2 linked regions of the Canis lupus familiaris genome follow. The protein of the gene in region 1 purifies or fractionates together with the protein of each later gene. This does not show direct contact. Links are inferred from orthologs where the notes say so. Each region holds a gene or a part of one and is shown in the gene's direction. Other genes may lie near its edges.

Region 1 (4,271 bases):
GGTGAAGGAGGTCTGAATCCAGGTAGAGGACCTGGCTTGAACAAAGGCTGGGAATGGTGGTTCTCTCCCCTAGTCAGCTGGGTCCTGTGAATTGTTGGTTTCACACCCCTACCTTGCACCTAGGCACCCCTGTGATTCAGGAGCTCAGGCAAGAGGGCTATGGCCCAGATTTCTTCCTTTACCTTCAGGCCTCAGTTTACCCACTTGTGAACGTTGAACCTATGATTTCCCAGGCATCCAGCCCCAGGGTACCTGACCCGGGCCAGGTGGCGCTCTGCGGGAGGGGAGTGGCCACCAGTGGAGTCACATGGGGCGGGGCCTGCGGGACCCGCTGCGGAAGCTTGGGAGGGTGTTTGGGCCTCAGACCCAAGCTACTGCGTGGGGGAGGGGGTTCCTAGGAGCCAGCACCAGGTGGGTGGGTGCCCCTGCCTCCGCGCCCTCCTATTGCTGGATGATCCCGCCATCCTCTGCGGGCGAAACTGAGTCACGGCGGGGGTGCGTGGGGAGAGGTTCCAGGGGTTTTAACCACACAGGAACCTGGAGTCCCATCCGCACCCAGGGGCAGCGCCGCACCCTCACCCCTGCCCCCGCCCCCACCCCCACCCCCACCCCCAGGCAGTGAGTCAGCGGCCGGCCGCGCCCCCTCGGCCCACTTCCTCCTCACCTTCCTGGGGCGGGCGGGGGGCGGCGAGAGGGATGGGGCCCTCCCCGCCCACCCCCCCCTGTGCTGGGGAAAGGGGTTCATCCCTTAGTCACCTTTCATATATTAGCAGAGAAGAGAGACGCTGGGGGTAGCATTTAAGGTATCATTTAAGGGGGAAAATTTGAGAGAATCTATGCTTAACCAGAGGATCGTCTTCGCGCCCACCCCCCAAATTGAGCAGAACGTGAAGAAATGGAGAAGTCGTTGGGGAGGGTGAGCAGGAATTGTCCCCATTAAGATCCTCCTAAGAATTTCCATCGTAGGAGCGAATGAGCGATCAGGAAGGATCCCTTGCCCTCCACCAGACCTACCCCCTAATTTGGGGGTGACCCTCAGCGTGCATCCCCATTTCTCTAACGTTGGGGAAGAGGTAAATAGCGGAAGTGTAGGGTTCCGCGTTGCCCTTTTAAGCGCCCTTCACCCCCCCCACCGCCTAGAGGTGTCCGCGGCCCCTTTAAGGCGCAGGGCATTGTGGGTGCGGGGAGTGGAATTTTGGAACGAAATGTAGCGAAGAGAAGTACAGTAGTAAGAGTAACATTGTACCCGCCGCCGGCCGAGGGGGCGCGCCGGGGACGGGACGCCGCACCCCCTTTCTGCCGCAGGGACCCCCGATCAAACCTCCAGAGGGAGGAGGCGCCTGAGGACCCGCCCCGGCCCCGTCCACGTTCCCCCCCAGGAAGCCGGACTCTATGGGGCGGGACCCTGGGGGAGACTGAGCAGAACCTGGAGCCAGCCCCGAACCCCTGAACCTTGAGCCAGGGGCGCCCCGGGAGCACCCACCCGTGGGTGCGCCGCCCTCCCGCTGAGCAGCCATGAGGTGAGCCTCGAACTGCCTCCAAACCCTTCCGCGCTCCGCGCGGGCTCCCCGCCCCGCCTTTGTCCCCCTCCCCCAGCTGGAATTTGGGGACAGGGCACTGGGGGCCTCGGATTTGAGGCCGAGCCCCCTTGGACGAGTTCCAAATACTGACCGCTTCGCCATGACTCCTAAGGCTCGGGTGGTGCCTCAGAGGTTCTCTCGGAAGCCCTCAGATTTGGGGGCGCCCCGAGGACTCCCGAATTTCTTAAAGACTTTTTCAGAGAACCTCCAAGTTGCCAGATCCTGCCAGCATGGAGGCCAGAATTAAGGCAGGGCTCAGACTACCCCCCCAAAAATCTCAACTCGGGCTCCGGGAGGGATTGAGGGGACCGGGTTGGGGGTTCCTGGGACCTGGAAGAGAGATTCGGGACGTAGACCTTGGTTTGCCGGGTCTGCTTTTACGTGGCGCTGGAAAAAGCCTTCCCAAGTGGGACCTCGCTTCTTAACTTCGGGGGCACTTAACCCCTTAAATTTCGGGGGGCTCTCGTCCTCCGGTGGAGGTGAGTGCAGACGAACCCACGGACCCGGACAGCCTCGAGGGTCTGGTTGGGACTCCCCTCCCCCGCCGCTCCCCACCCACCTTCTGTTTAAAACAAGCGGTGCCTAGGACGGAGCTCCAGGGCTCGGCGCGGAGGGCGGCTCCCCGGCCCGGGGCCAGGAGGGCGGCCCCGCGCCCCCACCTGTGCGTCCTGGGGAGGGAGGGGGCGCGGCAGCTGCGGGAAGAGGGGCCTTTGTCTTCCTGACTCACCTGTCGAGACAGCTGGTGTTGGGGGGGCGGGCAAGGAGTGCAGTGGGCCGGCTGCTTTCCCCACCACGCGCCGCCCCTTGCTCTCACCACCGCCCCCCTACCCGGCCCTCCAGAGCCGTGGGGTGGGGGGGGGGGCGCTGTAAAAAGCTTCAAGGTCATAGCCCTCTCCCCCTGGGACCCAGGCTCCCAAGACAGTCCCAGACACCTTCCCAGGAATTTAATCCTGGGGTTGGGGGGCCCAGAGGACCCAGGGATTTTTGTCTTACCGGGTCGGACCTCAGAACTCCTGGGCTCACCTGAGGGCGGGGCCGGGGCGGGCTGGGAGACCGGAGTAGACCCTCCCCCACTCTCCCCTCCCCCTGGCCCCCCATAATCTCTCCCTTGGGGCCCGAGCCTGACAATACTATCTCCCTTCCTCCACTCTCTCAGGGACTTCCTGCCCCCAAAGCCCCCAGCTTGAGGGGGAGGCCCCCCGAGGAGGACTGGGGATTAACCCCCTGGTGCCCACATCCTCCCACTACCCCCACACGCCCCTGCCCTCTGACATCAAGAGTCGCATTGCCCTTTAGGACCATTAGAGACCCCCTCCGCCTGTGTTCCTTCTGATGTGAAAGTGTTGGAGCATTTTGGAGTGAGGGGGCACCCACGGACACCCACCCTCGAGGTCTCCCGCCTACCTACCCCCCATTATAGCCACATCCCTCCGAGGCCTGCCCCGGAGAGGGGGCATTTTGGGGGGAGCCAGGCTCTCTTCCCTCACCCTCTTCCCAGGGGACCCTCCTCTCCCACGGCTGCCCCCCCGCCCCGCCCCCCGCCCCCCCTCGCGTTTCCGGTCCCAGGCACCGTGGAAGGCGGATGGCGGATGTCCGAGTTAGTGCTGCCTCACTCACTGTGAGACCGTAAAAGGGCAGGAGCAGTGTCTGGGCCGGCCTCCCGCCCCCCCTCCCCCAGGCCCGGAGGCCTTCGCCCTCCCACAGGGTCCCCCTACTGTTGGCCGCGGCCAAAGCTCCCACCTCCTGGGGGGTGGGGGGGCGGTGGGCAGGGGTTGAACTGCTGGGCCTCCCACCGGAGGGTCACTCGCACCTCCCCAGGGGGTCTTCCCTGCTGATGGCCACGCCCAACTCGCTGCGCCCCCTCTTCCAGGACCTCTAGGATTCCAAAAGACCCCTGCCCCTGCATGAGGGCAGCCAGGGAAACTGAGGCTCGCCCTAGATCCCTCAGGCAGTGTTGAGGGAGGGGAGGGGACTGGGATCCTGCGACTTGACTTCTGTCTGCTTTGGCTGGGCGAAGAGAGGATGTTAAAATGGAAAGTTACAAGATATAGTTCTTTTTCTCCCAGTTTGACAAATATTTGTTAAGTGTCTGCTGTGTGCGAGACTCAGCTGGGATTCTGGGAAGGCTCAGAGAGGGGGCAGAGGTCTGAGAATCTCAGGGCAGAGGGCTGCAAGCGGTATTTAGGTCCATTTCTTTCCTCTTCCAGGAATGGTAATTATTATTACCTTACAAAGTTGTTGTTTTTTAAATAATAATAAGAGACCATCTGATCAAACATGTGCTCTGTGCCAGGCACTGTATTATTCTGACTGCCCCACCTCCATGGGTCAACTGAGACACAGAAAAATTAAGCAAATAACCTATTCAAGTCAGTTTGGAAGTAGGCAGCTCTAGATTTGAATTTAGGGCAGTCTCCAGACTACGATGCTATTACAGAAAAAGGAAAATAAAACGTTTTAATGGTATTAAAAAAAAAAAAAACAAGTAACATGTTTGCACTATGTGAACACTTAAGATAATGCAGATAAGCAAGAAGAATCTTTTACCTTTCTGTTCATTTATGGGAAACTGAGGCTTATAGGGAAGGAGCAGCTAGAGTGAACCCACACAAACCCAAAGCCCATAGATCTGGTTCTTTGTACAAGGTTGCTTCAAAGACTTGCAGTTTTGGAAGGGTTATAGTTGGTGTG
Region 2 (4,302 bases), on another chromosome or scaffold:
GGGGAGCGTGGGCACCTCGGGGCTCCGGCCCTGACCCTCCACGCCCGCCGGCTCCGGCCGCGCCCTCCCGGACTTTTCCACCCCGGGGTCGGGGGTGCGGCGGGCAGAGGTCAGCAGCCAGCGGGCGGGGAGCGCCGCCACGTGCCCGAGCGCGCCCCGCCCGAGCGGCCGGGTGACTCAGCGGCGCGGCTGTCGAGGAACGGGCTCGGGGGGCGTGGGGGCCCGGAAGCGGCCCAGACCCTCGGCAGCCCCACCTGGGCGGCCGCGGGGCCCTGCCCTTCCCTCCCTTGCCCGCGGGGCGCCCGGCGAGAGCCGCGCGCAAAGCTTCCCAGCACAAGTTTCCCCGAAAAGAAGAAGAAAGAGCCCGAGGGGCCCGAGCGGGAGGGGACTTTCCCCCTCTTGGAAAAGTTGCAAATCTGGCCACCTCCCCGTGTCCTTCCGCCCCGAGAAGTAGTCCCGCCCCTGCCTCCCGCGCCCAGTGACCTCGGCCGCGCCGGGCCAAGGGGCACGGCCGGTGACCCAAAGTGCTGGCAGCGGGGGGCGGGGACGTGGGGCTTGGGCCTGCCTGGGGGGGGGGCTGCTCCTGCACGTGTCTGTCGGGCAGATACTGGAGACACTCGTGCCCCCCCTTCCCGGTGGACGCCTTGGACTCTTGAGGGCGGCCGGGCCCATCTGTCCTCGCGACCCGGGGCTCCCGCAAGTCGTGACTGAATAAAATAGAGAGCGAGCCGCGTGCCCGCCCCTTCCGCCCCGCGGGAGACACGTCCCCGGCCCGCCCGCCTCTGGGGGGTGGGGTGCCGCCGCGCGCACCCCGCTCCCGCGCCGCGGGCCGCCGGCCCCAACCGCCCCGCGCCCTCCCGCCCTCCTGCCCGGCCCGGCGCAGGCGCGGACGCACGCGCCGCCGCCGCCGCTCCTGCCCTCCGGCAGGGGTGGGGGAGGGGCAGCCGTTCCATTTAACCCTGAGCGCCCCGCACCCCCCGCCGGCCCCGCGCGCGGCTCGCCCGTCCGCCGGCTTTCGCATCCTTTCCTCCCTCGGGCTCGCTCCCTTCCCCGGCACCACAGTCCCGTTTGTATTCAAGGCGAAGCGGAGCGGGCCCTGACCCGAACTTCCCCCTGCCACCCGCACTCCCCCCAACCACCATCACCCCACCCTCCATCCTTTTACAGAGCTTTCCACCCAACTCTGCAAATTTTGCAATAGGGGGAGGGATTTTTAAAATCGTCTTTTGCAAAGTTCGGTATCTGGGCAGGCGAGGGGGGAGGGAGGAAAGGGAGCAGGCCCCGCCCCTGCCGCCCTTTGCAAATAAAAATCTAGGGGGGGGGGAGGAGCAGGAAGTGGCGGTGCGAGGGCTGCTGCACAGCGAGCAGAGCCGCGGTCCGGACGGCAGCGCGTGCCCCGAGCTCTCCGCCGCCCCCCGCCCGCCAGCCCGAGGCCCCGAGCCCAGTCCGTGGCCCCCGCAGCAGCCCCGCAGCAGCCCCGCAGCAGCCATGGCCGGCTGGAACGCCTACATCGACAACCTCATGGCGGACGGGACCTGTCAGGACGCGGCCATCGTGGGCTATAAGGACTCGCCCTCCGTGTGGGCCGCCGTCCCCGGGAAGACCTTCGTCAACATCACGGTAGTACGGGGCCCGCGCGCCCCCGGGGCACCGGCCGGCTCGGGGCGGGGCGGGGGCGGTCGGGGCAGGGCGGCCGAGGGCCGCGACCGGGTCCTCGCCCGGAGGCGGCGGACGGCGAGCGCACTTGAACAGGCCCCCCCGAGGTCCCCGGCCCTCGCTCCGGGCGGCGGCGGCGCCCATCCCTCCCGCCGCCCCGCTCTCCGCGCCGGGGCGTTACATCCGGGGCACAGGGCGGGGAGGGGCGCGCCGCCCGGTGCGGAGGCCCACTTCCGCCTGGTCCAGGGCGGGGCGGGCAGGCGCGGCGGGTTGCGCCGGGGCCGGGCACCAGGCGGGAGCGGGGACCCCGGCCCCGCCACCATTGTTCCTCTTCGGTCTCTTCTCCCCGCCCCTCCCCGCGGGAGGCCGCCCGGCCGCCCCGGCCCCCGCCCCGCCCGGCCCCGTTACGGAGGGCGAGGCCGCCCCACGCCCCCCCAAGTCGGCGCGCCGCGCTCCCTGAGCCCCGGCCCGGAAGTCCCCTTGCCCTCCCTTCCCGCCATCCGGCAGGGCCCGGCGCGGGGGAACTTCGGGAGAAGTTGCAGGGCCGCGCGACTTGTGGAAGGAGGGATGCCTGCCGCCGTCCCCATCACCACCTCCCCTGTCCGCGCTGCCCGGAAGTGGGGAGGGGGAGCGGAAGTGCGGGAGGGGGGGAAGGGGATTTCCGGGCGGGAGGGGACCGGATGTGGGGGTTTGGGGTGTTCGGGGGAGGGGAGAGGTTCCCTGGGGTCCGTGGACCCGGGTCTGGCCGGCCGCAGTCCCGCACCGCCGTGCCAACTTGGCCAACTTTCCCGGAGGGCCCCCGGGGTCGGCTCGCTGGTCTGGGGACCGCGCCCCTGCCCTGGACTCGGCGCCCGGAGACCCAGGCGTCCGGGCCCCTCGCGGCTCCTGCAGAACCTTTGACCAAATAAGGACAAAGTTGCCTCCTGCTCCGCCCGCCCCCTCCCTTCCCCTCCACGCTTCTGCTTTTCCTGGAGGAGCGTGGTGCGCGTCCATGGGCTACCCGGCTCTGCCATGCCACTGTCCGCTCCGGCTTCGCCCCCGCCCCGTTCCCTGGGTGTGTGTTCCCCGTGGGATGACACCAACCTGGGATATGGTCTCCCCGTGTCTCAGCAGTCTCTTAGGAGTTTGTCGGTTTCCACACGTGTGCACAAAGCAGACGGCATACACCCCATGTGGGGCGCGGTGCAGGGCAGGGGGAAACCGGGGGATCCTGACGCTGACGGCCGCTGCCTTCCCCTTGCAGCCAGCTGAGGTCGGTGTCCTGGTTGGCAAAGACCGGTCGAGTTTTTTCGTGAACGGGCTGACACTGGGAGGCCAGAAGTGTTCTGTGATCCGGGACTCGCTGCTGCAGGATGGGGAGTTTACTATGGACCTTCGTACCAAGAGCAGCGGTGGAGCGCCCACTTTCAACATCACTGTCACCATGACTGCCAAGAGTGAGTTTCTGTGACCCCTGACTGCCTCCCGGCCTCCGATGTCCCCTCATGAACCTGTTAGCCTCTGGGGTTTCCTTTGTGGCTCCCCAGTACTAGGAGATCACAGGCCGCTGGGTGCTTCCTCCACTCCTCAGTTCCTCATCTCCTAATAGAACTTGAACTGCATTACCTCTTCTGTTCCTTCCTGGCCTGAGCCTTCTAGGGGGCAGAAACCCTGATTTCTGGGAAAGGGTAGACTGATGGCCAAAAGACTGGGTGTCTTCTGAACTCTGTTAGGCCTTGGGGTAATAAGCCCCACTGTGCTTATTACTCCGAGCCTGAATCCCTGGTCCCTAAATTAGTTTCACCCGTTTCACCCTCTGGAGCCCTAAGCTTGATTCCCTCTCCTGAAAAGCCCCATTGTTTCAAAGTGACTGACAGCCTGCCTGTGTGTTGGGGGGGTTGGGAGAGAGGAGGTTGGGTTACAGCCCCCAGGGCTGGACAGCTGCTCAACAGCTGGCAGGGGGTGGGTTGTGACACCTGGGTCCTAGCCTCCATTCTCTTTCCTCCAGCGCTAGTCCTGCTGATGGGCAAAGAAGGTGTCCACGGTGGTATGATCAACAAGAAATGTTATGAAATGGCTTCCCACCTGCGGCGTTCCCAGTACTGACCTCGTCTGTCCCCGCCCCCTACCACTCCCCACTGCTTTTGCACCCCTCTCCTCCCCATACACACACGTACACCATTTTTATTTTTTGGGCCATTACCCCACACCCCTTATTGCTGCCAAAACCACATGGGCTGGGGGCTGGGGCTGGATGGACAGACACCTCCCCCTACCCAAACCCCTCCTGTGTGTGGTTGGAAAACTTTTTTGTTTTTTGGTTTTTTTTTTTTTTTTTTTTTCTGAATAAAAAAGATTCTACTAACAAGGTGCTGTGTGGTTTGGCCTGGGTGTCGGGGTGGACAGTTCCCATGACCTGTCACCTCTATCTTGGCTGCGGGTTAGGGAGTCAAGGGCACTCCAAAGTCTAGGCATTTGGGCTTCTTGAGTCCTGCCCAGGGGGTAAAGCAGCACCTGCCAGAGGCCCACCTGGTCAGGTGGCACAGCCCTAGGTCTTGGTAGATAATGGAAAAGAGCTGGACCAGAGAATGGGTCCAGGCCTGCGGGCAAGGCAGGACCAGTTGAGTCATCCCTGTGTGGGTGGGGCTCCCCCTCTCTGAGTCACAG

Evidence for each region.
Region 2: the proteins of VASP (region 1) and PFN1 purify together in Homo sapiens (affinity purification with western blotting; 3 studies listed by BioGRID and IntAct, with this or other methods). This does not show direct contact. The link is inferred for Canis lupus familiaris from reciprocal best matches to the Homo sapiens genes VASP and PFN1.

The regions. Positions count from the first base shown.
Region 1 is NC_049222.1:110,771,946-110,776,216, reverse strand, and holds the start of VASP (vasodilator-stimulated phosphoprotein), read left to right. Parts: upstream 1-1,470; 5' UTR 1,471-1,515; coding exon 1,516-1,520; intron 1,521-4,271. UniProt on the Homo sapiens protein: Ena/VASP proteins are actin-associated proteins involved in a range of processes dependent on cytoskeleton remodeling and cell polarity such as axon guidance, lamellipodial and filopodial dynamics, platelet activation and cell migration.
Region 2 is NC_049226.1:31,874,048-31,878,349, forward strand, and holds PFN1 (profilin-1), read left to right. Parts: upstream 1-1,336; 5' UTR 1,337-1,488; coding exon 1,489-1,620; intron 1,621-2,899; coding exon 2,900-3,092; intron 3,093-3,643; coding exon 3,644-3,741; 3' UTR 3,742-3,997; downstream 3,998-4,302. UniProt on the Homo sapiens protein: Binds to actin and affects the structure of the cytoskeleton. At high concentrations, profilin prevents the polymerization of actin, whereas it enhances it at low concentrations. By binding to PIP2, it inhibits the formation of IP3 and DG.